Pelodiscus sinensis: one gene and its partners. The protein of the gene in region 3 purifies or fractionates together with the protein of the main gene of each other region. This does not show direct contact. Links are inferred from orthologs where the notes say so. Each region holds a gene or a part of one and is shown on either strand. Other genes may lie near its edges. The genes, in order: RPAP2, CDK19, MED19 and POLR2D.

What was found.
Region 1: the proteins of MED19 (region 3) and RPAP2 purify together in Homo sapiens (affinity purification with mass spectrometry; 3 studies listed by BioGRID and IntAct, with this or other methods). This does not show direct contact. The link is inferred for Pelodiscus sinensis from reciprocal best matches to the Homo sapiens genes MED19 and RPAP2.
Region 2: the proteins of MED19 (region 3) and CDK19 purify together in Homo sapiens (affinity purification with mass spectrometry; 7 studies listed by BioGRID and IntAct, counting the BioPlex papers as one, with this or other methods). This does not show direct contact. The link is inferred for Pelodiscus sinensis from reciprocal best matches to the Homo sapiens genes MED19 and CDK19.
Region 4: the proteins of MED19 (region 3) and POLR2D purify together in Homo sapiens (affinity purification with mass spectrometry; 4 studies listed by BioGRID and IntAct, with this or other methods). This does not show direct contact. The link is inferred for Pelodiscus sinensis from reciprocal best matches to the Homo sapiens genes MED19 and POLR2D.

The regions. Positions count from the first base shown.
Region 1 is NC_134719.1:34,346,069-34,353,426, forward strand, and holds the start of RPAP2 (putative RNA polymerase II subunit B1 CTD phosphatase RPAP2), read left to right. Parts: upstream 1-3,929; 5' UTR 3,930-4,013; coding exon 4,014-4,071; intron 4,072-4,098; exon of another isoform or gene 4,099-4,292; coding exon of another isoform or gene 4,293-4,296; intron 4,297-7,358. Other genes in the region: GLMN (glomulin), read right to left, coding at 627-692.
Region 2 is NC_134713.1:79,074,378-79,081,895, forward strand, and holds the start of CDK19 (cyclin-dependent kinase 19), read right to left. Parts: upstream 3,079-7,518; 5' UTR 2,917-3,078; coding exon 2,776-2,916; intron 1-2,775.
Region 3 is NC_134714.1:128,612,610-128,620,163, reverse strand, and holds MED19 (mediator of RNA polymerase II transcription subunit 19), read left to right. Parts: upstream 1-4,255; 5' UTR 4,256-4,348; coding exon 4,349-4,583; intron 4,584-5,538; coding exon 5,539-5,795; intron 5,796-6,009; coding exon 6,010-6,106; intron 6,107-6,258; coding exon 6,259-6,353; intron 6,354-7,190; coding exon 7,191-7,259; 3' UTR 7,260-7,406; downstream 7,407-7,554. Other genes in the region: TMX2 (thioredoxin-related transmembrane protein 2), read right to left, coding at 1,274-1,387, 2,203-2,263, 3,722-3,910. UniProt on the Homo sapiens protein: Component of the Mediator complex, a coactivator involved in the regulated transcription of nearly all RNA polymerase II-dependent genes.
Region 4 is NC_134720.1:5,691,893-5,699,948, reverse strand, and holds the start of POLR2D (DNA-directed RNA polymerase II subunit RPB4), read left to right. Parts: upstream 1-4,583; 5' UTR 4,584-4,792; coding exon 4,793-4,865; intron 4,866-6,370; coding exon 6,371-6,551; intron 6,552-7,274; coding exon 7,275-7,370; intron 7,371-7,831; coding exon 7,832-7,910; 3' UTR 7,911-8,056. UniProt on the Homo sapiens protein: Core component of RNA polymerase II (Pol II), a DNA-dependent RNA polymerase which synthesizes mRNA precursors and many functional non-coding RNAs using the four ribonucleoside triphosphates as substrates.

The DNA of each region.
Region 1 (7,358 bases), on a different chromosome or scaffold from region 3:
TGAGAGTCTGGGGGTACAGGGTTTGATAAGGTTGAGAGGGTCAGGGTGTAGCTGGTTGGAGCTCAATGAGGTCCAAGTGTGAGGGGCTGCTCATGCAGGGGATGGAAATCAGCAGGGTGGAAGTTGGGGGGTCTTGGTAGAGAGGTTCTGGGTGCAAGGCAGGGGTTCAATTAGGGGTTCCAGGCGCATGGATGGGAAGACTGATCACTGAACAGGAAGCTGCTCCCCCGTCTATCCAACCCCATGCATCCAGATCTCTCCCCCAAACACACACACTCAAAACCCGCACTGAGCCTTACCACCCCACACCTAGAATTCCCACTCAGACAGGCCCCTTCCCACCAGCAGTGCAGAGCTACCTGCAGCTTAGAGTAGTTTCTGGGGTTGATTTGACACAGACCCAACTGGTCTGGGCAGGGGAAACTCTGTCTTCATCCTCTTTCTTCCCTCCCAGCCCACCCAGCTGAGACAAACATCCCTGGGAAGCCAGGGCATCCCCAGGCACCCCTTTCCCCAGAGATTTACCTCTCCCCAGCTGCTCAAACAGATATGTCTGTGCACACAAATTTAGGCAATGCCAGTTTCTCTAACAGTTAGTATATTTTTACAGAAAGGAAGTTACTTACACATCGTTGTATAACGGCTTGAAGCTCCTCAGTTGCCATTGTATCCTGATTTTGTTCTTCTGACATTGAAAAGCTCTATCATAATTTAGAGTATAGTAATGAGTCACAACTATATTATATTCAATATTATACTGGATTTAAAATGGAGATTAAAAAATTATCACATTTTAGCAAGTCCCAAGTGGTAAAACATCTTACAGAAATTAAGGAGGCTGCATAAAAGAACATGAGACAAAACAGAAGAGAAAAGAGTTAAAAAATGCAGGGTATTTTTTCATTCCATCTCCTGTGCAGGCACTGCTATTGCTTGTTTATAGGAGACAGGAAAGAGCATGAAAACTATATCTAAAGAGGGGAACTGTCCAACTACAGTAAACTTCTGATAATCTGGGAAGCCCGGGGCAGAGCAGCTGGGGTGCTCTTCCCCGGAGTCAGCCGCTGGTCAGTTTCAGCAGCGGCTGACTTGGAGAAGTCTGGGGCAGAGCAGCTGGGGTGCTGCCGGGATGGTCCGGCAGCACCAAGGAGCAGCGCTACGGGACCAACCCAGCACCCCAGCTGCTCTGCCCCGAGCGTCCCCAAGTACTGAAACATCCAAATCTGAATTGAGATAACTAAAAGAATGTGAAAACTAATTTTCTTTTTATTATACTGAAATCCTACTTACATTTTATTTCACTGTTTTCCACACTTGACAGTGAATCCACACTTGACAGTTTCACTTTGCTGTTCTCATTGCATTAGCACAGGGATGGGCAATAATTTTTGCCAAGGGGTCACAATGGCAATGGCACAATGGTTGGGTATTGGTAACCAGAGCTCATAGCTCCAGCCCCTGAAGAAGAGCCACAACTGGGCACTATTTAAATAGGATCCTGCTGTCCGAGCCACCACCTGAAAATTCGGTGGCATGGACAGCAAGATATAAATAGAAAACTGTCAGACACTGTCTGTGGGCCAGATCAAAGTTTTAGCAGGGCAGAGTCTGCCCCAGGTGGCATCTTGCCCATCCCTGCACTAAGATGTACTTTTGAGTTTGAGTTAGCACCACTGCAAGAGCAATGGCGACATTCCCCCAGAATCAGTGTTCCCTCTAAGCTGCGAGGCAGCACAGTTTCACAGGTGAATAGTCAGCCCTGCCCAGTGAATCAGCTCCACATGGAGCCCTGAGCTTTTGACTGGGCGGGGCTGATTAATCACCAGTTAAGATATGAGGCTGCACAGTTTAGAAGAAACACTGCCCAGAACTACTTTAATTTGTTTGAAAACAAATGTACAGTGTTACCTATTTGGGGCCCAAAGTAACTTGGTATCATCAATAAGGCTCAAATCATATACTGAGCTCCGTAGTGTACTGGTTCTGAGCTCATTGCACGTATGTGGCCCACATGATTAAGTCAGTGATATATTTCCCTGACTTCAGTGGGAACTGTACCGGTCCTTAAGTCATTATGAAAGAAAATTATATATTAGCTATAATTGGCAAACACCATTCATTAAGAATGTTTTTTTCCACCCATTTTGATTTCTTCTTATAGGATCTGAACACCAATGAAGAATGCATCAAAGGGAGAATGTATTCTAAATGCATGGAAGCACCTAGCATCCTCCATACACTTTTGTCAAACACTTGCCATTAGCCATACTTGGGTGAAAACAGGCTGTAGGGGTGGGTAGAGCCCTGGGTGGATATAAAATCTGTATCTGCATCTCTATCAGCACAAATAAACCTGTGACTATAAAGCAGACATCCACAGATTTACAAGGCTCTATGTATGCCCTGAGGCTACGTCTACACTACGTTTTTTGTGCAAAAACCAGCAGTGTCCACACCTCAAGCACGTTTTTACACAAGAAAATCTACAGTCAATTGACAGAACAGATGACTTTTTGCGGTGCAGATATACCTCCTAAGAGGAATATCTCCTTTTTGCGCAAAAAGGCATGTGTGGATATTCCGCAGGGGTTTCTTGCACAAAAAGAGCCAATCCGAAAAAGCACAGGTGTTCTGATGGCCATTCTGTGAATGGCCATCAGTGCTTTCTTGCGCAAGAGTGTCCATGCCGTGTAGATGCTCTCTTGCCCAAAAGCTCATTGCAAAAGCAGTGCATTTTGAGGTGTGGACGCGCTCTTGCGCAAGTTTTTGCACGGGAACTCTTCCTCAAAAAACTTCTTGTGCAAAAACCCTGGGCTGTGTCTACACTGCACCCCTTTTCCAGAAAAGGGATGCAGATGAGACAAGTCGGAATTGCAAATGAAGCGGGGGATTTAAATATCCCTCGCTTCGTTTGTATAAACATGGCTGCCGCTTTTTTCCGGCTCTGGGCTTTGCCGGAGAAAAGCACCAGTCTAGATGGGATCTTTCGGAACATAAAGCCTTTTCCGAAAGGTCCCTTATTCCTCTTAAAATCAGGAATAAGGGACCTTTCAGAAAAGGCTTTATTTTCCAAAAGATCCAGTCTAGACTGGCGCTTTTCTCCAGCAAAGCCCGGAGCCGGAAAAAAGCTGCAGCCATGTTTATACAAACTAAGCGGGGCATATTTAAATCCCCCACTTCATTTGCAATTCCGACTTGTCTCATCTGCATCCCTTTTCCGGAAAAGGGGTGCAGTGTAGACACAGCCCTGCAGTATAGACCTAGTCTTTCAAGGGTGTATAAGGGCTGAGGATAGCAAGTGATAGAGAGAACAGAGAGGGCAGGGCTTCAAGGGGGGAGGGTGTCTTGGGGAAGGGATGGGGTAGATCTTGGCTTGTCCTGGCATTTAAAAAGTGATCTTGGGCGTAAAAAGGTTGGAAACCACTGATGTCTGGGATCCTCCCAGTCGAGGGTTAGCACAGTCGATGGGATTAGTACTGATGCGCTGAGTCACGTCGGAGGCTGCTCTACACCCCGGGGCCTACAGAACACACCTCCTGTCTCTCAAAGCAAACCAATAAGCAGGTCGCGGAGAGGCTGTAGCGGCTTCGCACGGAAGGAGGGGAGAAGAAGAGGGAGACCGGGCGCGTGGCTCACAGCAAAGCCCGCAGCCTGAGGCTGTAAATACGGCTGCTGCGAGCTCCACGCCTCCAACAAGGGGGGCTGGTCTCAGCCGGCGCCCGGGACCTTGTCTGAGGAGCCCCGCGTGGGGCGCAGCGGGCCAGCCTCGTTACCCCGCCCCCAAGAGAACGCGCCGGGGGAGGACTATCCCCGTCGCAGCCGCCCCACAAGGGGGCTCAGAGCCTCCCTCCTTGGACGCGGGGGCGAGGACTGCGCGGCGCCCGCCTCCTACCTAGCGTGCGTCCGCACAGGGCCGCTCCGGATCGAGCCCCGCGTGCCCCTCTCAGGCTCCGCCTCCCCCCCCCTCGCGCCGCGGCGGGTGAGAGGTCAGGCGGGGGGCGGGGCGGGCGGCGATGGCGGCGGAACTTCGGCGCGTCGGTGCGAAGGCGAGAGGCAGCCGGAGACGCGCGGGTAGGATCAGTACAATCCCCCTCCCCCCCCCCCCGAACATACCCCCCGTTTCCCGGCCTAGTGGGCTCGTCCTCCCCACCCCAACGCAGGGGACTGACCCAATCGTCCCAGCCGGGGAGGGGGACGGGAGTAGTGCTGGGCAGGTAGCCGTGTTGTGCGCCCCTCCGCCCCCCGTTTGGAGCATTGCTGGGGTACCCGGAGGGGGAAGCAGAGCCGGCACCATGCGTAAGCGGAATGAGCAGCGGGCCCATTCCTAGGCCGGGGTATTCCAGCTTAGGGCAGGGCGCTGGTGTGCAAGACGGGGTTCAGCTGCAAGCTTGGGAGGGGGCTCTGGGCTGGGACAGTGTTGGGGTGCTGGCTCTGAGAGGGGTCAGGGTGTTGTAGGTGCTGGCTCTGGGAGCGGGCTCAGAGCTGGGGCGGATTCAGGGTACAGGAGGCGTATGGGTTCTGGCTCTGGGAGAGGGGGCAGGGCTGGAGCCAGGTGCTTGGGGTACAGGAGATGGTTGGAGGGTGCAGGAGGAGAGATGGGGTGCTGGCCCTGGGAGGGAGCTCAGGGCTGAGGCTTGGAGTGCAGGAGGTGTTTGGGATCTGAGGCACTTGGAAGAGAGGAAAGTGATTAGGAATAGTCATCAAGGGTTCACAAAGGGCAAGTCGTACCTGACCAATCTGATCAGCTTCTATGATGAGGTAACTGGCTCGGTGGACATGGGAAAGTCAGTGGATGTGATATTCCTTGACTTTAGCAAGGCTTTTGATACGGTCGCCCACAATATTCTTGCCAGCAAGTTAAGAGAATGTGGATTGGACAAATGGACAGTAAGATGCATAGAAAGATGGCTAGAAGGCCGGGCCCAGCGGGTAGTGATCAACGGCTAGATGTCAGGATGGCAGTCGGTTTCTAGCGGAGTGGCCCAAAGTTCAGTTCTAGGACCGATTTTGTTCAATATCTTTATTAATGACCTGGATGAAGGGATGGATTGCACCCTCAGCAAGTTTGTGGATGACACTAAGCTAGGGGGAGAGGTAGATACGCTTGAGGGCAGAGATAGGGTCCAGAGTTACTTAGACAAATTGAAGGATTGGGCCACAAGAAATCTGATGAGGTTCAACAAGGACAAGTGCAGAGTCCTGCACTTGGGACGGAAGAATCCCAAGCATAGTTACAAGCTGGGGACCAGCCCGTTAAGTAGTAGTTCTGCAGAAAAGGACCTGGGGGTTACAGTGGATGAGAAGCTAGATATGAGTCAACAGTGTGCCCTTGTAGCCAAGAAGGCTATTGGCATATTAGATTGCATTAAGAGGAACATTGCCAGCAGATCCAGAGATGTCATTATTCCCCTTTATTCGGCTTTGGTGAGGCCACATCTGGAGTATTGTGTCCAGTTCTGGGGCCACCACACTACAAAAAGGATGTGGACGCACTGGAGAGGGTCCAGCGGAGGGCAACCAAAATGATTAGGGGGCTGGAGCATATGACTTAAGAGGAGAGGCTGAGGGAGTTGGATCTGTTTAGTCTGCAGAAGCGAAGAGTGAGGGGGGATTTGATAGCAGCCTTCAACTTCCTGAAGGGAGGTTCCAAAGAGGATGGAGAGAGGCTGTTCTCAGTAGTGACAGATGGCAGAACAAGGAGCAATGGTCTCAAGTTGTGGTGGGAGAAGTCCAGGTTGGATATTAGGAAAAACTATTTCACTAGGAGGGTAGTGAAGCCCTGGAATGGGTTACCTAGGGAAGTAGTGGAGTCTCCATCCCTAGAGGTGTTTAAGTCTCGGCTTGACAAAGCCCTGGCTGGGTTGATTTAGTTGGAATTGGTCCTTCCTAGAGCAGGGGGCTGGACTTGATGACCTTCTGAGGTCTCTTCCAGCTCTATGGTTCTGTGATTCAGGAGATATGGGATGCTGTCTCTGGAAGGAGGGTCAGGTTGGGGCAGAGGATTTGGGATGTGCAGGAAGAGTTTGGGGGTTGGCATGTGGCCTGCCACCAGGCAGCACTTGTCATTGTCCCAAGCAGCAGCACAGTGAGGCTAAGGCAGGCTCCCTGCTTGTCCTGGGTCCACAGCACTCCTGGGAGGGGTCAAAGTGCCCCTGTCGCCCAGAGGTGGGGGCCAATGTTCACACTAATTTTTTCTGTGTGTGAAATAAATGTTATGATGTACCCTGAGGAATGTGAGTTTGTGAACCACCAGTAGAAACATGCTACCATCTGTGGGCACTCTGCTAATCAGTGGAGCAGCATTTGAATCTCCTGGGCAACTGCCCAAGCACTCAGATTACAGGGAACACTTTTGGGGGTGGGTAGCACGTGGCTCTGTGTGCTGTCCCTCTGCTAATGCAATAGTTCCCTTTTTCTGGCCAGTTGAAGCAGTGCATGCAGGCGGCAGGAGTAGCATGCTGAGACTCTTGCCTCCCTATCCCTCCTCACACACAGGACCATGCTTGCCAGTTTTGGGAACAGGCTGGTGACGGGGTAAACAGGAAGCTTGCTGATCGTAATTAATTGGGAGACTCCCCAGGATTCACCAGTTGATTGCAATCGATCGGTTGGTGACCACCACTACACAGATTTCCAGGGAGAGCCCAGCCTTTCTCAATCTGAGGGTTGTGATCCAAAAATGGATGGATGGGTGGGGGGCAAAGTAATTGACTGGGGGATTTTGGTATTGCCACCCTTTACTTCACTGCTGCCTTCAGAGTTGAGTGGCTGGAGAGCTGTGGCTGCTGGTCGGACACCCATCCCCGAAGGCAGTGCCCCACCAGCAGTAGCACAGAATAGGGTACCCCTACTCCTGTGCTGCACCCTTCTGATCTGGGCAGCCAGAAAATGGTGGCTGCTGACCAAGGGCCTAGCTCTGAATGCAACAGTGCAAACCATGCCAAGATATCCTTACTTCTCTGTTGAAGCTGGAGGCAGCACTATCTTGATGGTGGAGCTCCTGGCCAGCAGCCACTGCTTTCCCGCAGCCGAGTTCTGAAGACAGTATTGGAGGAAGTGTTATTTCACCTGCTCAGAGCAGATTTCAGCCAACAGAGGAGCAGGAAAAACAGTGCCTTGTAAACATTAGCATTTCCACGCTTGCTATCACCATTGGCGCTACAAGGGTGCAAAACATTGGGGGGGGGGAACTCTAGGAAAAACAGTTGATACAAAATCTTCAAGAAGAAATGACACACCAGCATCCCCAATTGAGAGTGTCTCCTAAACTTTTTTCTTTGAGGGGGAGGGACAATGTAAAGGAATAAAATGATTTATTCCGCCCTGTCCTGTGGTTCATTAGTAGGTATTGTGCTGAC
Region 2 (7,518 bases), on a different chromosome or scaffold from region 3:
GAGGGGATGCGAGGTCTGGTATAGAGATGTTAGATATAGTGTAATTGAATAGCCATGTAACCGCATGAAATCTTATTGGTTACAAGACTATTTGTTAGTCACCAGGGGCAGCAGCGTGGGCTGAGGCAGTTGGGAGCCAGTTCGCAAGGGGAGCCTGTACAAAAACTAACTCCCCGCACAGACTGGCTGCCTATTGCCCTGCACTGCTACCTCTGATACAGAGGCTGCTGCAGCAGGAGCGAGGGGGGAGAAGGGAGGCTACCATGGAACAGCCTGTGTCTGTGGTGGCTCTGGCTGGCCACAGATAGAGACTGGTGCAGCCCCTGTCTGCGGGGGGGGGGAAGGGTCCGAGCTCCTCATGGACAAAGGCTGGTCCACCTCGCATAGAGCAACCTTTGTCCACAATGAGCCTGGGCCACCATGGACAGAGGCCTCCTTTGCAGCAGCCTTCCCTGCCCCACCTCTGCACTGCTGCCTCTGAGGGGTAGGTGGCACTGCAGAGCTGATGCTGGGGGAAACCAGCTTTTAAGCCAGCTCTGGCCAGGAGAATTTACCATAGGCAGCCCCTGGCCAGTGGCCCGGAAGGACGCTTGGGCTAGCTCCCTGGCTGCTGCAGCCTTAATGTGCATCTCTGCACAGCATGCCCCTTGGGAATCATTGGGCCTCTATGTGGTGTATGCACCTGCAAGCACTGCCCTTTCAGCTCCCATTGGCCAGTTTCCAGCTGCAAAGATGGTGCAGGGGGCAGAGTACAGAGATCAACATCCCCTCCAAGGGGCACACTGCACAGACACACACATGCTGGCCACTGTGAGCAGCGTATGGGCTGCAGCATCCAAGGAGCCTACCTGAAAGTCCCACTGGGCTACAACAAGCTGGATCCAAATGTTTGGCAGGCCAGATCTGGCCCACGGGCCATATTTTGCCTGTCCCTTGCTTAGCCTCAGTATTATACCCTACTAACTTAGATCATGTCTACACTACTACTTGTGGCAGCAAAGTTTATGTCACTCTGTTCCAAGGTATTTAAAAAACCCAACCCAAGTGACGTAAGTTTCACCGCTGTAATTGTAGTGTGCATAAATATGGCCAGCATACATGCAGACCAACACCTGAGATAAATCAGGTGTTTTCCTTACAGAATTGCCATACAATTAAATGAGACAAGCAAGGAATAGTAATAACTAGCCAGGGAACTACCATCCCACCTTTCCAGCATCACAGAGAGAAGAGCAGTACATCTCATTCTGGGCCTAACTAGCTACTTGTATGGAGTCATACACATCGAACAACTACCAGACTCATTAAAAGCTACAGAAAAGTTCTACATGGCGTAGACTAGAAAAGTACAAACAGACACAGCAGGCCACTCTTTTGGATTTTAAAAATAATTTTGATTCACTCTGGAGATGCCAGTGCTTCATAAGTAGCAAACAATGCTCACACTTAAAAACCAGACATTTAGTAGGTATACTGAATTAACCTCACTAGGACAACAAGGACTTTTTAGCACCACCTTATTCAGTTTCTACTTAATTAGGCTATAAAGTGTATCGCAAAATTCATAAGGAACACTAAGCACCACCACATCACTGACCAGCTAACAAATTTCACAGGATTAACATTTCTGGGGTTGGGGATACAAACATTAATTTAAATGAAGCTACGATATTTGAAGCATCACTTAAAAGCTTCACTCAGCCCACACAGAACACACTAGGCTAGCAGCAATATACCAAAAATACTCTTTATTTGTGTGTGCATATCTGTATAGAACTAAGTTGTTGGTTAGATTTGTTTTTTGTTTGTTTTTTGCGAAAACACTCAGGGCCTGTTGGGAGCCCTGAACATAGGTGCTTATTCAGTAAATGTATGATCTATATTAAGCCTGGATGCACCAGTCAGTGGAGCTGCACCTGCATCACCACTTCCTCTTATCCAGTTATCTTTTTGTTTTTGAAAGCTGGATTTTCTACCTTAGTACAATAATGTTTACAAAAAACTTTTTCCAAAAGTTAGTTTCTTTGCCTTTTTCTTCCTTTGTTGCTCCATCCCTCCTGGCTTCAAGTGAAACAGTAAGTCAACGGATGGAAAGTCATGGAGAAGAAAAATTGTTATAGCCCATCTTTTGCAGGGACTGGGAGAAAGGGACACTGAGGGATGCACAGACTCTTTACCACCAAGGCTACCACAGTCCATCCTCAAGTCCCTACCCCAACCTCCAGGCTTTTTCCCACCTCTTTCCTACTGCTCCCCCTACATACACACACAGCACCAGGGCTCGCCCCAGTCTCCCTGCTACCCTCCCACCTTCACCTCAGGGTGGCCCCTCTCATTTCTCGCTGCCACCTTCATGCTCTGGCTCTCTCCCTCCCGGGGGGGGGGCGGAACGGACGGACACACACCACCGCCAGCTCCCCTACCCCCACCACCAAGTCCCGCTCCACCCCGTCCCCTCCGCTCCCCTTCCCAGTGTGGGGATTTCTAGGCATTCCCACTGGCAGGGGGCGCGGCAGCTAGCACCGCCCAGCCCCACTGTCACTGCCGTCTCCAGGGGCCACAGACAACTAGTCCCCCCCAGTCACCGCACCCTCCCGCAGCTGCGGGGTCGAGAGGGTGCCCAGGAGCTTGCGGCATCAGCGTCGCTGAACTGGGGACGCCTGCAGGGAGTCCCGGCGCCGCGGCCCCAGGAGGGCGGAGGGACACTCAGGGGCGGGGGGGGGGGGGGGACCAAGCCAGGAGCCCCCGCCCCGTGCCAGCGCCGCCCCCTCTTACCCGTCCTTGCGCCGCGCTTTGTAGACGTGCCCGTAGGTGCCTCTCCCCACTTTGCAGCCCTCGTACTCGAACAGATCCTCCACCCGCTCGCGCTCGGCCGCCAGCTTGGATTTGAACTCGTAGTCCATGTCGCTCACCCATGGGGGAGGGGGCGCGGCGGGATCAGCGCCCCCGGCGCCGGGAGCCCCCTCCCTGCACCATTGCCGCGAGTGGGGCTGGGGGGGCTGTTTTCTTGGATTTTGTTGTGGGGTTTTTTTTTTTTTTTTGGTCCGCTCCGCCGCCACCCGCTTCAACTGGAGCGGCTTGCACCGTGGCGCGGGGCATTCTGGGACTGATAGTGCAGCGGGCGCCGCGGATCCAAAGGCTCCATAGGCAGGCAGCGGCGGGAGAACTACATTTCCCAGCATGCACCGCAATACCCACTCCCTGCCTGCGCCTGCGCTCCCTTGAGCGGCTAAGCGCTTCAGCGGACGCTGGGAAGTTGCTGACTCTTCACTTTGCCCGACTGAGGTGGGAGGCGCAACCACACGGGGGAGGGAGGTTGGTTCGCAGCGAGACCGTGCTCAGTACCTGAGCCTCAGCCCTTCAGCTAGGGGGAGGGGAAGGATTGTGGCGCTGGTACTTGTTTACGTTGTGAGCTGCCACTCAAGCGTGGCCCCGCCCTTCCCCCCTCTTTGGCGATCCCGATTGGTTACGGCTCATCTCGCGCATTTAGTCGTTGGGCTACGGGCTTAGGCGTGAGTGGCTGCCGTGCTCGTCAATCAGCCGCCCTGGCACGCGCTTTTGGGGCGGAGCCGTCTCTGATCGGAGTGGCCGGGGCAGCGCGGAGCGGGTTAGATGCTGCCGCCCAGTTTCCAGCAGATGCAATAGGGCCCCGCGGGCTGGCGTGGCCTGGCGGCGGCGACACCCTCCTACAAGTGGAACCGGGGCGGGGCCCCACCTGCTGTCCCCGAGGGGTCAGAGGAGGAGGCAGCGGCCCCGCCTGCGCGCCCCGGTGCGGCCCAAGGGGCTGGCGCTTCGGCTTCCTTCCCTACCAGCGCCAGGGCGAAAGATCGGAGGTGCCCGCTGAGCCCTGCGAGGCACCGCGCTAGCGCACATCCCTGCCTTCGGGGTGATGCACAATCAAAGGCTGGCCCAGAACTGCTTGCACAGAGCAATGCCGGACGGCCAGGCACTAACCCTGCTCATTCCTGAGTCATCATCGCCATGACAACATTGCCAGGAGGCTATTCCACTGCAAGAGAAAACAGCCAGTCATGGGACTTAAGCATGACTATCATGAAAAGGGCCACTCACACACTTCTGTCCTAGGCTTAGTGTGTACTTAAATTGCCTTGAAGTAGCTATGCCAGTTAGGGGTGAGAAAAAACTACACTCCAGAAAGACATAGCTATGCTAAAAAAAAACAGTGTAGGCTCCAACTCTAGGTTGACAGAAGTGGTGTCTAGGGAAATAGCCAGAGTCATTCAGGGAGGTTGTGTTACTACAACAAATCTGTTGCTATAGGCTGTAGCTATACTACACTACAGGGTTGTGCTCTATATCAATAAAGGCTCCATCAGGTAAACATACCTTCAATTCCCATTTCTGTTTTGAAATTGATATTTGCTACCATCGTGCCTCAAGCTGTTCTCATAAGATTAGTGGTATATAGCCTCATTAGGGATGTAAGCTACTAGTCAACTGTCTGATGAGCTAGGGGTGGTGAACCCCGTGGGGGGGACTCTGCTGTTTGAGGAGAATTTGGGGAGTATCCATATCAGCCACCAAACCAGAGACTCATTTAACTGCACATCCCCTAATGTGATTTATGCCGTCAAATGCCAGCAATGCCCCCACTGCAATATCTATCGGACAGACTGGACAGTCTGTACAGCCATGGTCACCAACCCATCGATCACAATCAACGGGTTGATCGGAAGGGCTCGACCAGTGATTGCGAGGCGTTCGGGGCCCCTCCAATTCTCCTCGCCCCCAAGAAGCCCCACTACCTACCTCCGAAAACGGAGGTAGTGCCAACTTCCTGTGGGGTGGAGGGAAGTCCAGCAACTGCGTGCCACTTCCGGGGTTTCCGGAAGTACACTGCCTACTCCTCTCCTCCAGGTCTGTGGCGCACCGGGAGGAAGTAGGAGTCCCAGAGGAAGATGCGCGCTGGGGCTTCCGGGGGGGGGGGGAAGAGAAGAGAGGGGAGGCGCGCACCGGGGCTCCCCTCTGCCCGGGAGGAGGTAGGAGTCCTGAGGGCAAGCTTGCACCGGGGATGGGGGAGGAGTCCCAGGGGGAAGCGCACGCCGGGGAAAAGGTAGGAGTCCCAGGGGGAAGCATGTGCTGGGGCTCCCCTCCTCTGTAAGGGAGAGGGGAGGAGTCCGAGGGGCAGTGCACACTGGGGCTCCTCTCCTCTGCGGGGGAGGAGGTAGGAGTCCCGGGGAGAAGCACGCGCCAGGGAGGGGGGAGAAGTCCCTGGGGGAAATGCGCTAGGGCTTTCCTCCTTTGCAGAGGAGTCGTCCCAGGAAGAGGCTCTTGCCGGAGCTTCTCTCCTCTTGGGGGGGGGGGAATCCCTGCCCCAGCCAACACCCTGCTCCCACTGGCATCCTGTCCCCACCCCAGCACCCTGTCCCTTGCCTCCACTGACACCCTGTCCTCTGCCCCAGGCCCTTGCCCCAGAACCCACTGGCCCTTGCCCCAGCACCCATTGGCACCCTAGCCAGCACCCTGTCCCGATACCCCCTTGCACCCTTCCCCAATACCATGTCCCCCTGCTCCCACCAGCACAGTTGGGGCCACATTAGTGAGGCTTGTGGGAGTTTTGGAGGAGTTTTTATTTTGCATCCCACTTGTGTGGACCCTACTGACTTTTCTGTGGGTCAGTGACCCCTGACTCAAAACAGGTTCCCTGCCCTTCTCATAAATAAAGAGAATGCAGAAACTTTTTGTTTGCCATAGTATTTTATTTAAAAATGAAGCCTGGCCAACAAACCCACAGTTGGGGCCAAGCCCCCATCTGCCCACAACATCATGACACTCCTGCATACCCCTTTCCCCCAGACCTTTGATCTGAACCTATCATACACTGGAAATCCCTGCCCTGAGCCCCTCACATACCCTAACCCAAATTCCTGCACCTTTATATCCACAAGCTTGTGGCTTGCTTAGTACCCTAACTCTACATCTGACCCCAACATTGCCCGGCCTGAAGCCCCCTCCCCAACCCAGCGTCCCCTTCTCCACCTCCTCCTATATCCAGATTTCCTTTCAGAGCTTGCACTTCTCACCCCTTCCCACATCCAAATCCCTCATTCCCACCCCAGAGCCTATACATCCTGCCTCAACCCAGTGAGGGTAAGGCTAGACTGCAGGAGTTTTTCAGGATTCTGAAGATATCCCAGAAAAACTCTTCTGCGTCCAGGGATGCATTTGTTCTTCCGCTTTTTTTAGTGGAAGAGCAAACATGCTCTTTCAGTAACCCCTATATTCCTCTTTCCACGAGGAATAAGAGGGCTTCCAAAAGAAGGGGTTTTACTGACATTTGGTCCAGTCTTGACAGGCCAAATGTTGGGGAAACCTCTTCCTACAGAAGGATTGGGGGAAAAGCAGCAGTATAAGGGTTGGGGATAGCAAGTGATGGAGAGAATAGAGAGGAAGGGGCAGGGCTTCGAGGAAGGAGCGGGGCGGTAGCTCTTGGCTTGTTCTGTCATTTGAAAAGTGATCTTGGGTGTAAAAAGGTTGGAGACCACTGCTCTATGGGAAAGAATTAATGGACACAAATCAGATATCCGAAAAGGCAACACACAAAAACCTGTTGGAGAACACTTTAATCTTCCTGGACACTCATTAATGGATCTCCAAGTCGCTGTTTTGTTTCAGACCAATTCCACAAGCCAAATACACAGAGAAGGATTGGAGCTTAACTTCATTCACAAGTTTATTTCTTATGATAATGTGTGAATCATGGTTCACACATTATCAACCAACCGACCAATGAAGGTGCTAATGGTTCTTGATGTCTGTGTAGAATCTGGTGTTGGTCATCTTCCTTTCCAAGTACTAACTAATGGTTCTTATCAGCCTCTTGTAACTATTTAGTCTTTGAGATGCTACTAGACTAATTGTTATTTTTTAAGTTTTTCCTGTTACAGACTAACCTCTGAAGCTTTATCTCCTCAATGTCAGTGGGAGTTTATTCTTGGGGTGTTTTTTTGTTTTTTTATTTTGCTCCTAATTTGTGTGCAGCCCCCGACTGATTTTTCTGTGAGTCAACAGCCCCCAACCCAAAAAAGGTTCTCCACCTCTGCAATAAGCAAAAGCTTATAGGATAGTCAACTAATTCCTCAACTAGTCGCTTACCCTCCTCCCCTTGCTGCCTCTATCAGAGTCCGCAAGGGGGGAGGGGACAAGAGCCAGTGTTCGAAGGAGCCGGCTTAAAAGCCAGTTCCCCCAGCTCCGTCTCCGCAGGGAGGTAGTGGGGACTGGGCGCAAGCTGGAAATCAGCTTATTCCCAGCTTGCATCCAGTCCCAGATACTACACCTCTGCTTTTTAAATGTTTTAAGAGCTTGTTAGTTGTCCTGGCTCATGCTGAGTCCCTCCTGCTGCGCTTTAGCCTTTTAAATATATTAAGAGCCAACAAGCTATTAATACATTTAAAAGGCAGAGCTGCAGCAGGGTTAGCTCTCAGGTCCCGCTGCAGTTCCCCTGCTTATCAACTATTTGACAAGTGGATGGAAAATCTATTGACTAGTCGATTAGTT
Region 3 (7,554 bases):
CCTACGGGAAGTTGTCAGAAGGTGGGCAAACAGCTGGTTGAAAGAGCGCACCAAGAGCGGTTGCCAATGGTTTGCGGCCCAAGGCCATAACTAGTGGGAACAGCATTCAATACCGTCACCAATGCCTTGGACACGGAGGAGAGCGTGTGCTTAGAAGATCTGGGGTTGAGGGGCTGCCCAGATGGTGGGAGGTTAGAACTTAAAATGAGTTTGACAGATTGGAGAACTGGTCTGACTTCAACAAGCTGAAAGCCAATGAAGACAAGCGCTAGAGGCAGGAAGGAATGAAATCGGATGCAGGGCTACCCAGTGGGGAACTGGCTAGTAGGCAGTGCTCCTAGAAAGGGTCCAGGGCTTCCTGTGGACCGCAATGGGAACAGGAGCCAACAAAGGGAAAAAGGCTAATGTGGCCCTGGGGTGCAAGTGGCTGGGGCCAGGGAATGAAGATGACAAGCAAAGAGAGGGGTGAAGCAAGAGAATGGTCTTAGCAGCAGCAGTTTGCACCGCCCAGTTGCAGAGGCAGGGGCAGTTACCCCGCTCTGGGGCAGGGGAGCATGCACTCGGACAGTGCAGCAGAAAGGAGCTTGAGCCCTTCCTCCCCGTGAAGTGATAGGGCCCGTACCAGCCTAAAAGGGTGCTGCATTTAAAAAGCCAATTGACGGTGGAGAGTCAGCACTCTGAGAGCCCCAGCCCTGAAATACATAAGGAAGCTCAAAGACTGCATCCCTAACCCAAGATGGGGCATGAGGAGTTCAGCCTGTCGTCTAGGGCAGGGGCTTTCAAACTCTGGGTCACAGCTTCTCAGGGCAAGCTGCTAGCTGGCTGAGACACATTTTTTTAAAAAATCTGCACCTCCCCAGGACAGTCCATCGCAGCTCCAGTTGGCTGGCCAATGGGAGCAGTGGGAAGCGGTGTGGACTGCAACCAATGGGAGCTGTGCGCAGGTACACAAAGCATCATGCAGCCAACTAGTGCCAGAGTTTGAAAGCCCCTGGTCTAGGGAGGAGTCATTTTGCTGGGGGAGGGGACGACTACTTAGCACCATGGGGCACGTGAGCAAAATCCAAGCAAGCACAATGGTGTTTCAGTAAGAACCCTTTCTCCCACCCTGCGTCTGGCTGGTCTAGTTGGATGGGCAGCTCCTCAGGGCAGGGACCTTCCCCACTCTGCATGGGCTCTATGGAGCAACTGACTGGGTTGGGGTGTAGCGAGCGTACAGCACAGACTTGATTCCCTTCGGAGCCAGCCACGTGGCCCCACAGCAGCACCTCACCTATGCACAGCGTCAGGTAGAGCAGCCCCATCCGCACATCCAGCCGGAAGAAGAGGATCGCATTGGCCACTTTACTGAACATGAAGATGTTCCCCACGTGCTGATCCACGGTGACTGGGGAGAGAGGAAGTGGGGGAGGTCAACCCCAGACTAACACCCTAGTTCAGGGCAAAGCTGAGGTGCACGTGGAATAGACCAGGGCATTGCACCTCACGACCCAGCACCTTCTCCTCTCAGTCCAACACAGACTGCCCCACTTCCTGTACCTGCCCCCCGCACTGACGCTGCCATCCCAAAGTCTCTTCCTAAGAACAGCAATATTGGGTCAGGCCAAGGGCCCATCTAGCCCAGTGTCCTGTCTTCTGACAGAGGCCAATGCCAGGTGCCCCAGCAGGAGAGAGCAAAACAAGGAATCATCAAGTGATCCCTGCCCTGTCACCAATTTCCTTTGACAAACAGAGGCTAGGGGCACCATCCCTGCCCATCCTGGCTAACAGACACTGATCGACCTAACCTCCATGAGTTTATCTAGGTTTTTTTTAACCCTTTTAAAGTCCTGGTCTTCACCACACCCTCTGGCAAGGAGTTCCATAAGTTGACTGTGCCTTGTGTGAAGAAAAACTTCCTTTTGTTTGTTTTACACCTGCTACCTCTTAATTTCATTTGGTGACCCCATGTTCATGTATTACAGGAAAACGTAAATAACTCATCATGCCAGCTTTGAGGTCCAGCTGCTCTAGGACCTCCCTGATCTTGCCACATGCCTCCTCAGCCAGACCCCCTCCAGCCCTCCTCCCTACGCCAGAGTCCTTCCTGGGGTCCGACACGGAGTCCAAGCGTGCCCACCAAAGCAGCCCTTGGAATGCCGCCCCCATCTCCGCCCCCGGAACAGTCCCGCGGAGGCATGGGGGCGGGGGAACAGGACTCACTGGATCTGCGGTTCTTCATCATCACGATGGCACTAAGGAACATGAGGATCTCCACCTCCCGCTGAAAGAAATGGGGGGGGGGGCAGAGTCAGCCCGGCTCAGATTGGGGCGCCCAGCCCAGCCAACGAAGCACCAGGGAGGGAGCCGGAGCCCCCAGAGTGGAAGCCCCACGTGGAACCAGCCAGGGGACTGGGACAGCTGGACATAGCATGGGGGGAGGCAGGGGGGCTCGGGACTCACCCAGTCGAAGTCGCGGGGGGGGGGGGGAGGCAGGGGGGCTCGGGACTCACCCAGTCGAAGTCGCGGGGGGGGGGAGGCAGGGGGGCTCGGGACTCACCCAGTCGAAGTCGCAGGGGGGGGGGGGAGGCAGGGGGGCTCGGGACTCACCCAGTCGAAGTCGCAGGGGGGGGGGGGGGAGGCAGGGGGGCTCGGGACTCACCCAGTCGAAGTCGCAGGGGGGGGAGGCAGGGGGGCTCGGGACTCACCCAGTCGAAGTCGCAGGGGGGGAGGCAGGGGGGGCTCGGGACTCACCCAGTCGAAGTCGCAGGGGGGGGGAGGCAGGGGGGCTCGGGACTCACCCAGTCGAAGTCGCAGGGGGGGAGGCAGGGGGGCTCGGGACTCACCCAGTCGAAGTCGCAGGGGGGGGGGAGGCAGGGGGGCTCGGGACTCACCCAGTCGAAGTCGCAGGGGGGGGGGAGGCAGGGGGGCTCGGGACTCACCCAGTCGAAGTCGCAGGGGGGGGGGAGGCAGGGGGGCTCGGGACTCACCCAGTCGAAGTCGCAGGGGGGGGGGAGGCAGGGGGGCTCGGGACTCACCCAGTCGAAGTCGCAGGGGGGGGGGAGGCAGGGGGGCTCGGGACTCACCCAGTCGAAGTCGCAGGGGGGGGGGAGGCAGGGGGGCTCGGGACTCACCCAGTCGAAGTCGCAGGGGGGGGAGGCAGGGGGGCTCGGGACTCACCCAGTCGAAGTCGCAGGGGGGGGGGCAGGGGGGCTCGGGACTCACCCAGTCGAAGTCGCGGGGGGGGGGAGGCAGGGGGGCTCGGGACTCACCCAGTCGAAGTCGCGGGGGGGGGGAGGGAGGCAGGGGGGCTCGGGACTCACCCAGTCGAAGTCGCAGGGGGGGGGAGGCAGGGGGGCTCGGGACTCACCCAGTCGAAGTCGCAGGGGGGGGGAGGCAGGGGGGCTCGGGACTCACCCAGTCGAAGTCGCAGGGGGGGGGAGGCAGGGGGGCTCGGGACTCACCCAGTCGAAGTCGCAGGGGGGGGGAGGCAGGGGGGCTCGGGACTCACCCAGTCGAAGTCGCAGGGGGGGAGGCAGGGGGGCTCGGGACTCACCCAGTCGAAGTCGCAGGGGGGGAGGCAGGGGGGCTCGGGACTCACCCAGTCGAAGTCGCAGGGGGGGGAGGCAGGGGGGCTCGGGACTCACCCAGTCGAAGTCGCAGGGGGGGGGGAGGCAGGGGGGCTCGGGACTCACCCAGTCGAAGTCGCAGGGGGGGGGAGGCAGGGGGGCTCGGGACTCACCCAGTCGAAGTCGCAGGGGTTCCCATCCTCGCGCTGGGTGGGCAGCCCCTGGCAGAGCGGCGGCACTTTGCGCACCAGCAGGAAGGCGGCGGAGAGCAGCGCCGAGAGCGGGTAATAGGGCCGCGCCAGCCAGCGGCACAGCCCAGGCACCGAGTAGAACAGCGCCAGCAGCGGGGCTAGCACCGCCATCTTCACCTCCACTGAGCAGCCCCGCACCGCCGGGACGACCGCGCACGCTCCACCGATCCCTATTGGCTAATCTTAATGCCAATCGTGATGAGGACAGGAACTGTAAGAAAGACCCATTCTCATTGGTTGATACCGCTGCCCCTCAAAATTAGACACATCCAATTGGCTAAATGGATTTCAAGGGGGCCTGCCTTTGTAGAGCGAGGGACTAATCAGATATCGGAATTTGGAATGACGTAAAGGCCAGACCTGATTGTCATCACAGTGCGCATGGGAGAAAACCAATCACGTCAGGCAGAGGAATGTAGCATTTTTGTCCAATCAGAGATAAACAGTGGGCGGAGTTCAAAATAGATGGGCCAATCACAGCCATAGATAGGACAGGCCGCCCTCCAATGAGGACAAGGCAGACTGTCAACTCCTCGAGGAGCCGAGCCAATGGGAGGAGAACGCGCGGGGCATGCTGGGACGATGGAGCCTTTCTCTGCTCTCTTCGGAGGGGCTGAGCCGCCGCCTCCTGCCGCGGCCGCCGCGCTGGGCTTCGGGCCGGGGAAGCCGGGCGGTCCCGGCGCCGGCCCGCCACCCACAGCCGCCGCGCCCCAGAGCGCAGAGGACGCCGCCCGCAAGGCCGCGGCTGCCAGCGGCCCCTTCTACCTAATGCGGGAACTCCCAGGTACCGAGTGCAGGGGGCGGGACTTTGCGGACTTTGGCCAATCGAGTTCAGGGGGCGGCCTTTAGGGGTCTGGCCAATCGGATTGCTCAGATTTCTGATTGGCCTCTCTCCCCGCCTATTAATGGCTGGGCCTGTTTTCTCCAGCCCAATAGGCGAAACAGACGGTCTGGTGGAGGCGGGGCTGAAGAGGTTTTTTGGATTGTCAGCCCTTTCCTCCAATGGGGAAGTCGGAAACCTATGGGGGAGGCAGTGTGTATGAATGACTGGATTGGCAGTTCTGGGAGCCAATCATGATGCAAGAAGATGTTTGGGGGGGGAATATGGGTGCTCGTAGCCAATGGAGACGGGGGGGGAGGGGAGAGAGAGCCTGCTCCCAACTGGGTCTGCATGAGCCATTTCCCAGACTCTTGTGCTGCCCCAGGAACAGTGCTGCCCCAGGGCGGTGGGGGGTGCCCAGGGGAGGGAGGCAGACGTCTGTGGGATGGGGGAGGCTGCTCCCACCCAAGGCCCTGGCTGCTCATGTAGGATCCCCAGGGGCTGGGCCACAGTCCAGCTCTGATGCGGTTAATGGGGCTAAATCCCGTTTCCTTCCCCTGTTGCCAGGCAGCCACGTGAGTCTCCAGCCCGTGGTGCGGCGCTGCCGTGTCCCAGCCGCTCTGGTTAGCGGAGGGGCTCTGCCCCTGCTCTTGAGCAGGCCGGGCTGAGGTCTGCTGCACCTGTAGCCCAGTGCACTGCAGATAGTAATGAAGTCTCCCCACTGTGCTGAGCCAGGCAAGGGCCAGCCCAAGCTTGCTGCTGGAGACAGCTTAAACTAATATGCTGAAGGCCAGAGGGGAAGCCAGTGGCAGAGCTGGGAGGGGAAGTCAGGAGCCCAGGCTCCCAGGCCTGTTCACAGAGTGCCCAACCACATGGCCTTGAGCAAATGTACAACCTGGCTCCCCTGGTCCCTGCTCAGGCAACATGGAATTGACGGGCAGCACGAACCTGATCACACACTACAACCTGGAACACTCCTACAACAAGTTCTGCGGCAAGAAGGTGAAGGAGAAGCTGAGCAACTTCCTGCCTGACCTGCCAGGAATGATCGATTTACCAGGTTCGCACGACAACAGCAGCCTGCGCTCCCTTATCGAGAAACCACCCATCTGCAGCAGCTCCTTTAACCCCATCACTGGCACCATGCTGACTGGCTTCCGCCTGCATACCGGCCCGGTGAGCTTCCTCCTAAGCTATAGGAAGTGGGAGGGTAGTTTTGGGGTGGGAGTCAGGACAGGGGGGACTCTGTTTGGGCTGGGTGAGATGAGGCAGAGGGGTCTGTGGAGAAAACAAAAAATCCTTGCTGATTAACCAAGGAACATGTAGTGGTGGGAGAATTTCTCCAAAGATCATCTCCCTCCCCATCTACCCTAATTTTTCTCTCTACCAGTTGCCAGAACAGTGTCGCTTGATGCACATCCAGCCACCCAAGAAGAAAAATAAGCACAAGCACAAGCAGAGCCGCACACAGGATCCTGTTCCCCCAGGTAAAAACTGCCTTCCACAAATCTATCAGTCCCCTCTCTGAGAGAGAGCAGCACCCACCAAATCTTTTCCAGACCCCAGTAAAATCATAGGTCAACCATCTGCCATCTCCAAGAGGGGCTCACTCAAAGGGAGATCTTGGCTTTCTTTGCAGAAACCCCTTCAGATTCCGACCACAAGAAGAAGAAGAAGAAAAAGGAGGAGGATCCTGAGAGGAAGAGGAAGAAGAAGGAGAAGAAAAAGAAGAAGGTAAGTGACTACAAGGGGGAAGAACTTGTGGTTCACTTCCCCATCAGCAGTCAGTGCTCCCAGTCCATGCTTACCTTACCGGGGAGGGAGAGGGCTTGAAATGTATCTGATCCTCTCCTGGTTACCTCCATGCTCTGGAGTCTCTGTCTTAATATAAAGGCCCGGGAGAGTAGGGGTTTGGATGCTGCTGGTCCCACCTAGAGTAGGCAGGCAGAAAAATAAGCTTTTTCCCACCCAAAAAGAGGGAGGGGGGAGGGAGAGAGAGAGAGAGAGACTCCTTCAAGAGGGTAGGGCCCTGTGTCTGTGTGTGACCCCTTCCTGGGGAGTGGAGAATGGGAGGGGTGTAGTTATTTAGAATTCAAGACTCAAAAGATTTTTGATTTAAGAAATGCTGGTGTGGTGGCTTTGGATGCTACAATTCAGTTGCCTCATGCCCCCTCTTGCATAGAACAGGCTCCCTGGTTTGTCTATATCTCCCAGGACATGCCACTTTCCCACTCCATGAGAGTCCCTGGCCATGGTGCACCGTGGGCGCTGGAGCCTGGCCCAGAGAGGAACGGAGACCCTAAGCATCTGTATTACAGCTCTGATGAGACACCAGGGCTGCATTTGCAGATTGAAATATCTGGGGGTTTGGTAGGAAACTGATGTGTCCTGTTGAAACCACATGCTGTTGGGGGGACGCCTGGGAATGCTCTTTGGGGCAGTGTAAAACAGGCCAAAAGTTCTGAGTCTTCATTCCCCCTGCTCCGATTGGTCCCCGGGCTGAGGAATCCTGTCCTGACTCAGTCCCTTATTGCCACTGTGAATCCTCATGGGGTTGTCTGTCTGACTCAGAACCGGCACAGCCCCGAGCACCCAGGCGTGGGCAGCTCTCAAGCGAGCAGCAGCAGCAGTCTGCGGTGAGGTGCCGACTCAGCATGGCACTGGGAGTGCTCTATGGAGATGCCCATCACCAACATGCGGGGGAGAGCGGCGCTGGAGGCAACATCAGGAACAACCCTGGAGCGCCTCGCGGGGGGCCCCGTGTGTACAGACAGCCAGGGCACCAGCCTGGTGGGAGCACAGACTCAGCTGGAGCAGGGGCACCCAGAGCCTGGGCTGGCTCATCCCCTTTCATACAAAATAACCCTTGTGGAAGCAGAGACTTTTTTTTTATTCACGTTTTAATTAAATGCCTGCTTGGAGGAGATGCTAGTGG
Region 4 (8,056 bases), on a different chromosome or scaffold from region 3:
AGGGCATCAGCTTGCTGTTCGTTGAGCTACTCCCATCACTGACCACCATAAGATATAGAGGGAAAACCAAACTCTACTGTTTCAGTGGACCCCCAAATGATACAAAGCTGGGTGAACCCCTTTCTTTTCCCCAGCCAGTCTTTTCCCTGAGTAGAAATGGGGAAAATGGGTGATTGGACTGAGCATTAACAAGGGGAAGACCAAGATAATGAGGAACAACCAGTCCAACAATACCACCATCACACAGGGAGGGGATGACCTGGAAGATGTGGAGCAATTCATCTACTTGAGGAGCATAAGTTGGTGAAAACAGTGGTAATACGCATGAGTGGATGAATACGTGTGGTCACAGCGCTCCTCCGCTCATTTATGTGTTTATTTTTGTGTTTTAACAAACTGCGGCAACTTGTGTTGCTGGTTATCTTGTGTTGCTAGATATCTAATGTCAACGTTGAAGACCCAGCACCAACAAAAGATTGATTTTACCACTACCACCTGAAATGCAACCCCACCTTTTCCATTATTTTTAATGGGAAAATTGACCCCGCATAGCACGTTTTCATTTAGCACGAACATTTGCAGAAATGCATCTATACAGGCAGTCCCCGGGTTACGTACAAGATAGGGACTGTAGGTTTGTTCTTAAGTTGAATCTGTATGTAAGTCGGAACTGGCGTCCAGATTCAGCTGCTGCTGAAACTGACCGCCAGTTCTGACTTACATACAGATTCAATTTAAGAACCCCAAGCTTCCCCAAGTCAGCTGCTGCTGAAACTGATCAGCACCTGATTCCAGGAAGCCTGGGGCAGAGCAACTCTGCCTCGGGCTTCCTGTAGTCAGCGCTGGTCAGCTTCAGCAGCGGCTGACTTGGGGACGCCTGGGGCAGAGCAGCTGGGGTGCTGCTGGGTTGCTCCAGTAGCACCGCTCCTTGGCGCTACTGGACCAACCCAGCAGCACCCCAGCTGCTCTGCCCCAGGCGTCCTGATTCAGCCACTGCTGAAACTGACCAGCAGCGGCTGAATCAGGACCTGGGGCAGAGCAGCTAGGGTGCTGCCGGGTTGGTCCAGTAGTGCCCAGAAGGCGCTGCAGGACCAAATGGCAGCCCCAGCTGCTCTGCTCCAGGGTCCAAAACAAAAGCCTGGTCTGCTGGGGGGGGGCACACTAGCCGCGCCCCCTCCTCTCCTCAGCAGACCAGGGATACAGGAGCAGAGCCGCAGCGGCAGCGGGGTGCCGCGCCTCTGAGGCTTTCCTCTGGCAAAGCCTCAGAGGCGCGGGACCCCCCCGCGGCTGCGGCTTCAGTCCCGGTGCCTGTGGTCTGCTGGGGACGGTCCCCAGCAGACCACAGGCAGGGGACTGAAGCGGCAGCAGCGGCGGTTCCCCGTGCTTCTGAGACTTTGCTTTGGCTTTGCTCCGGTGCCCCTGGTCTGCTGGAGACCGTCTCCAGCAGACCAGCGGCACCGGGCGGGTTCCCATGCTTCTGAGGCTTTGCCAGAGCAAAGCCTCAGAAGCGCGGGAACCCGCCGCTGCTGCCGCTTCAGTCGCGGTGCCTGTGGTCTGCTGAGGACGGTCCCCTGCAGACCACAGACAGGGGACTGAAGCGGCAGCAGCGGGCGGGTTCCCCCGCTTCTGAGGCTTTGCCAAAGCAAAGTCTCAGAAGCGCGGGGAACCGCAGCTGCTGCCGCTTCAGTCCCCTGCCTGTGGTCTGCTGGGGACCGTCCTCAGCAGACCACAGGCACCGCGACTGAAGCGGCAGCAGCGGCGGGTTCCCGCGCTTCTGAGGCTTTGCCAGAGCAAAGCCTCAGAAGCGTGGGAACCCGCCCGGTGCCGCTGGTCTGCTGGAGACGGTCTCCAGCAGACCAGGGGCACCGGAGCAGCTTACGAACGGGGATTTCTCGCCCCGGAGCTCGCAGGTAGCAATCCGCTACCTCGACCTCCGGGGCGAGAAAGCCCCGTTCGTAAGTGCGGATCCGACGTAAGTCGGATCCGCGTAAGTCGGAGACTGCCTGTAGTGTTAAATGAGGAATTATTCTACTAAAAAGTCTTCAAATCACAAGCTACATACATCCATAAACAGATGCCTGAGGTACATCCTTCACATCAAATGGCAAGACTTTGTCACAAATGAGGAGCTTTGGAACAGAGCAGGACAAGAACCACTTGATGTTCAAATGAAGAGAAGAAAGTGGGGATGGCTAGGCCACACTCTCAGAAAACCATCACCCTGCATAGTCAGTTAAACTCTCACATGGAACCCCCAAGGAAAATGCAAAAGAGGAAAACCTCAGACAACATGGAGAATATCTACTGAGATTGAAGGACAACTCGGGTACTCCTGGAGTCAGCTAGAAGTTTTGTCTCAAGACAGAATGAAGTTGGAGAGTTAATATCATACATGGAAATATACCTCTCTCAGAGCTGGAAGGGACCTTCACAGCAGGACCAAGTACCATCCCTGACAGATTTGCCCCAGATCCCTAAATGGCCCCATCAAGGATTGAACTCACAACCTTGGCCAATGCTCAAGCCACTAAGTTGTCCCTACATAGGTCATAGATAACCTATGCTCCACTTGGAGTGCAAGGGTTTAAGAAGAAGAGGACAAAACAATCTTTAATTCATGGAGACTGCAAGACAATTTGGAGTATTAGCAACCATAGGACAGGCAGCATCTTAGATCAACTTCCAGAGACTATCTCTGACAGATCCCTTATGCCCCCTTCCTCCAGCCTTGAACCCACCACCCTATGTTTCCACAGGCAAATGCGCTAGCCCCTCAGCCACAGCAGAATTCACTCCATTGCCTGCTTGCCGCTGGGTCCCTTATGTGTAAAGACATACACATGAGGCTGTAAGAGCATCTATCAATATAGCCAACAATACCTACACACTATGTCCAGCTCTGACATAACGGGAAATAGTCTGAAATAGTGGTAGATACCAAATGTTGCTACAACTGCATCATCTCAATAATCTTACTCTGGAAAAGACATATAGAAATGGGCAATAGATAGTTAGATAATCAACAAGGTCCTGAGCACTGGCCACACCCAAGGCCGGACTGAGGCATGGGCGAGCCGGGCAACTGCCCAGGGCGCCAACCGATGAGGGGCGCCTGATGGCAGCTGCAAGGGGCGTGTGGCGTCCCTTATAGCTGCCATCAGGCGCTGCGCGCCCGGCTCCCGTAGTGCTGGCCCCGCGGCGCTGGCCTGCAGCGCTCTTCCCCCCACGGCCGTGGGGCCCTGCATGGCCTGGAGCGCGTGCCAGCAGCGCTGGCCAGGCTGGGCTGGGCAGCGCATGTACTGTGCGCCCCGGGGGCAGGCCCCGGGCTGCACGCCAGTGGCCGTGGCCGGCCCACGAATGCACCGTGTGCCCTGTGGGCGGGCCCGTGCTCCCTTGATAGCCAGGCCTGTGCCCCACAGGCGGGCCCACGCATGCACCATGTGCCTGTGGCAGCACTGCATGCCTGGGGCACCAAAAGGGCTTGGGCCGGCCCTGGCCACACCTGCATATATCAGAATAACTGAACGCATTTCCTCTCATTGTGGTCAAAAGTAGGCTGTTAAGAGTCTGTGGCGGCTTTTACCAACCAAGAAAGATGGTGAGTCTTTTTTCCCAGCAGATGCATTGCAAGAGTGTTTCCTATGCAACAGTGTTGGGAAAAGTAGTGGGTAATTTGCTTTTTGGAGAGGTTCTTTGGTTCCTTCCCTTATTTCTGCCATACAGGATGTAAGTGATTGCAGAAGCAGCCGTTGGGTCAGGTGGATCTGTGTCTGAGTCACTTTATTTCTTGTATGGAGCACTGGTAGGGTGTGTCCATACAGCAAAATTATTTTGGAATAACAGCGAGCGTCTACACACAGTTCTATTATTTCAACATAATGGACGGCTTATTCCGATATCTGTAAACTCATTCTATGAAGAATAATGCCAATCCGCAATGGCTATTTCAGAATGAGGCGTGTGCAGATGCTCCACTTCTGCTATTTGGAAACGGCCCGTCCCCAGGGCCATGCTCCTCTTGGGGCTGCAAACCGAGAAGGCACGTCTACCCCTGCGTCAGGCTCATTCTGAGGCTACCCGGCAGCGCAGAGGTGGGCTACGTCTACACTGGCATGATTTTCCGGAAATGCTTTCAACGGAAAAGTTTTCCGTTAAAAGCATTTTTGGAAAAGCGCGTCTTGATTGGCAGGACGCTTTTCCGCAAAAAAGCCCCGATCGCCATTTTCGCGATCGGGGCTTTTTTTGCGGAAACCAAATCTCTGCTGTTTACACTGGCGCTTTGGCGCAAAAGTTTTTGGAAAAAGACTTTTGCCCGAACGGGAGCAGCATAGTATTGCCGCAAAAGCACTGACCAGCTACATGAGATCGTCCGTGCTTTTGCGGAAAGTCAAGCGGCCAGTGTAGACAGCTGGCAAGTTTTTCCGCCAAAAAGCAGCTGATTTTGCAGAAAAACTTGCCAGTCTAGACACAGCCGTGGTGTTTCGGGCCAGGCTATTCCCGACTAGCTGCGCGCGTGGAGGCGGCCCTAGGGGCAGTCAGGAGAAGGCTCTGGCTGAGGGAGGAGCCTGGTCCCTGGGGGAAAGCTCGCAGGGGGCTGGTCCCCACCGGGCTTTTCCCTGCCGCGCCCGACAGCTGAGGGAGCGGGCCTGGCGCTAGGCCGCAGCGCGCGCAGCAGACGCCCGCCCCCTGGCGGGAGCTGGGGAAGTCTGGGCCCGGCCGCCGCGCGGCGGGAGGAGCGCGAGGGCTCCCGGCAGCCCCCGCTCGCCAGGGGAAGCCGCTGCCGGCTGAGGCGATGGCGGCCGGAGGCGGCGAGGCGCGCGCCGCGGACGTGGAGGAGGACGCCTCGCAGCTCGTCTTCCCCAAAGGTGCGCGGGGCTCGATCCGCGGGGGACACGCCCGGGAGCTGGGGGCGGACGGGCGGGGAAGATTCCCCCTGCGGGGCGGGGAGGAAGCGTGGCCCGCCCCGGCCCCTGGTGCTGGCGTTGAACCGGGCCGCCCAGTCCCATTTCCCAGCTCTGGGTCGCTGCCAGTCCCCACAGGCAGGGGCGCTGCGAAGAGAACGAGCCGTGGCAGCCCGCGCTGCCCGAGCGCTAAGCCGCCCGGTTCCAGCCGGACTAGCCCCGCGCGGATCGTTCTTGAAATAGCGTCTCGCAAGGCTTTTCAGTGCGTCAAAGGGGCACGATTGCGGCTGAAGCGCCCCCTTGCCGGGAACCTCTACTAGGTGCTGTGCAAATACAGGACAAAAAGACAGTCCCTGTCGCAGGGTTGTATGTAAAACACTCCGAGCTGTATCAGGCTGTCACAGTTCAGTGATCTCTGGGATTGATCTGAAGAACTCTAGTTTTTCTGATCGATGATCCTTGGCACACAGGTATTGCTGCCCGTGAGACTATTTTACAATTATTGACTGGAAACCAACTATTGAAGCATTGAAAGCGGGATTACCAATTGCCAGTAAATTCTGTTGCAAATATTCTGAATGACTCTGAAAAATAGTGTACATATCAATATAATTCAAAATAGTAATATTTAAATAGCTATATTTGTTCCTTCAAGGTGTCCCCAAAATGGGAAAAATGGGCTTATACTCTGCTATGATGTAAATGGAAACCAGAAATATGTGCAGTCTAGTTGCTTTTTTGCACCAGAAATTCATACCCCATCTAGTCTCATAAACACACTTGAAGTCAAACAAATTAATGAAATGGTTAAAAAGCAAGAGCTGAGAAAGAAGTTTATCTACGAGAGGGAAAATGATCTATAGTCAGACTGTTTCAAACTTGTTTTTTGTTATTGCCTGTTTAATTTCAACAACTAAATTAACATTTCTGATAATGAAAGCCTTTGTTAAATATTCAGGATCCTTTAATTAAGGTGCTAGCAGTAAACATCCCTCAAAACTGCAAGAAGCTCTCTAGCAAAACCACAGAAAACCACTCTTGCCATTCCTGATTTAACTAAGTTAAAAAAGAAGTAGTGTAAAAAAAAAAAAAGCCTTTGCAGTACTATCCTTTTAATATTTGTCTTTTATTTCAGACCTTTGTGTCTACTGAGTAATAATTCATTACAAAAATATGATTACCTCAAAAGATTGGGCTGGCAATTTAAATATGTATGATCAAAAAGTTAAAAATACCTGGAGTGCAACTCAGTATTGTAAACCTATTTGTCTGGCCTTGGAGGAATTATATTCTCATTAGTAATGGCTTCCAAGTTATGGAATACAGGATTTTCTGTCAAAGCTATGTCTCTGGCTCATTTTCCTTTCTCTGCAGCTATATCTGAGCATGAAACAAAGCATGTAAGAATTGGCTTCTTTGTTGGTGTCCTTATCTCCCCCTCACACTGATATTCACTTGCTCGTGTACAGAATTTGAAACTGCTGAGACGCTTCTAAATTCAGAAGTGCACATGCTTCTTGAGCATCGTAAACAACAGAACGAGAGTGCTGAGGATGAGCAGGAGCTCTCTGAAGTCTTCATGAAAACTCTGAACTACACGGCTCGCTTTAGCCGCTTCAAAAACCGAGAGACCATTGCCAGTGTCCGTAGGTGAGTGAGAGCGCCAAGGAAAGATGAGTTATTGTAGTGTATGTTCTATATTATGAAGTTGAAACATGTTAATTATTTCCAGGAACAGGGTTGTTCTAGAGATCTTAGTTGTATATTTCTGGGGGAGTGAGGGACTTAGTAAGATTCCATTAGAGCAGTGGTTCTCAAACACCTTTGCATTGGTGATCCCTTTCACACAGCAAGCTTCTGAGTGCTATTCCCCTTATACATTAAAACACATTTTAAAAATATATTTAATGCTACTATAAATGCGGGAGGCAAAACATGATTTTGGGGCTGGAGGCTGACAGCTCACACAATTCCATGTAAAAAACTTGTGACTTTTGAAGAATCATGACGTCCAGGTTGAGAGCACTTGTATTAGACTGGGTAATAAGAGGCCCCAGGCTGAGCCCCCAGAGCTCTTTTGGTATGATATGATAATATATGATAATAGGTTGTGGTAGATAAAAGGACTTTTCTAGCTTTTCTTTTTTGGAGGCTTGCTGGGGTTATCGTGTATGACTTTTTTTTCTTACTAGCAATAAGAGTTATATTCATAATAAAAATTACAACTTATATTGCTCTTTTTCTCATCTCCATTCCTTATTCACAGTTCTGTCAGGAGAATGTCAGCAGTTTAGTTTCTTTCACATTCTTTTCCTTTCTTCTTTTTTATTTATTCTGTTTTATCTCTACCCTTACCATTTTCTTTTTCTGTAGTTTGTTGCTCCAGAAAAAGCTCCATAAATTTGAATTGGCATGTTTGGCTAATCTGTGTCCCGAGACAGCTGAGGAGGCCAAGGCTTTGATTCCCAGGTGAGAATTTATGACTTTGGTTTTATGATTTATGGGTTCCAAGATGCAGGAATAAGTGGAAAACTGAGCTGATCTATTGTTTCCCATTTGTAGTCAGCATTTCATAGCCACTGTGGGATGGCCTACAAGGTACAATTCTGCATGATGTCAGTCAGATATCTTTGTTTACATCTGTTCCTGAGTATGGCACCCTTCTAATTTCATATCCTGAAACTGATCAGTAAAAAAGTGGTGGGAGGAAGGTATTAACTGATTAATTGGATTTGAGGCACCTGACAATTATAGCATGGGGCTTTATTGTTATCTGTGTATTATAACTCAACAGGAAATGGGAGATTTTTTGATAAATGGTGCAATGCCAGATGGTACCAAATATGTGTAGAAACATGAGGAATTCTGGATATTAAAGTGAAATCACAGGGAAGAGGCTTGTTTCGATCATTATTGTTCTTATCTTGCAGCCTAGAGGGCCGGTTTGAAGATGAAGAGCTACAACAGATTCTTGATGATATTCAAACCAAACGAAGCTTTCAGTATTAGGGCTAATTACAAGCCCTTATTATGAAAAGGAAAATCCGAGAATTTCTGATGTCTCTGTGCATACCTGTCAATCTAGCTAGCTCCAGGACAGAGGAAAGAAGAGTTCCTGATGCAGAGTACTTGAGCCTTGGGTCCCACATGGACAC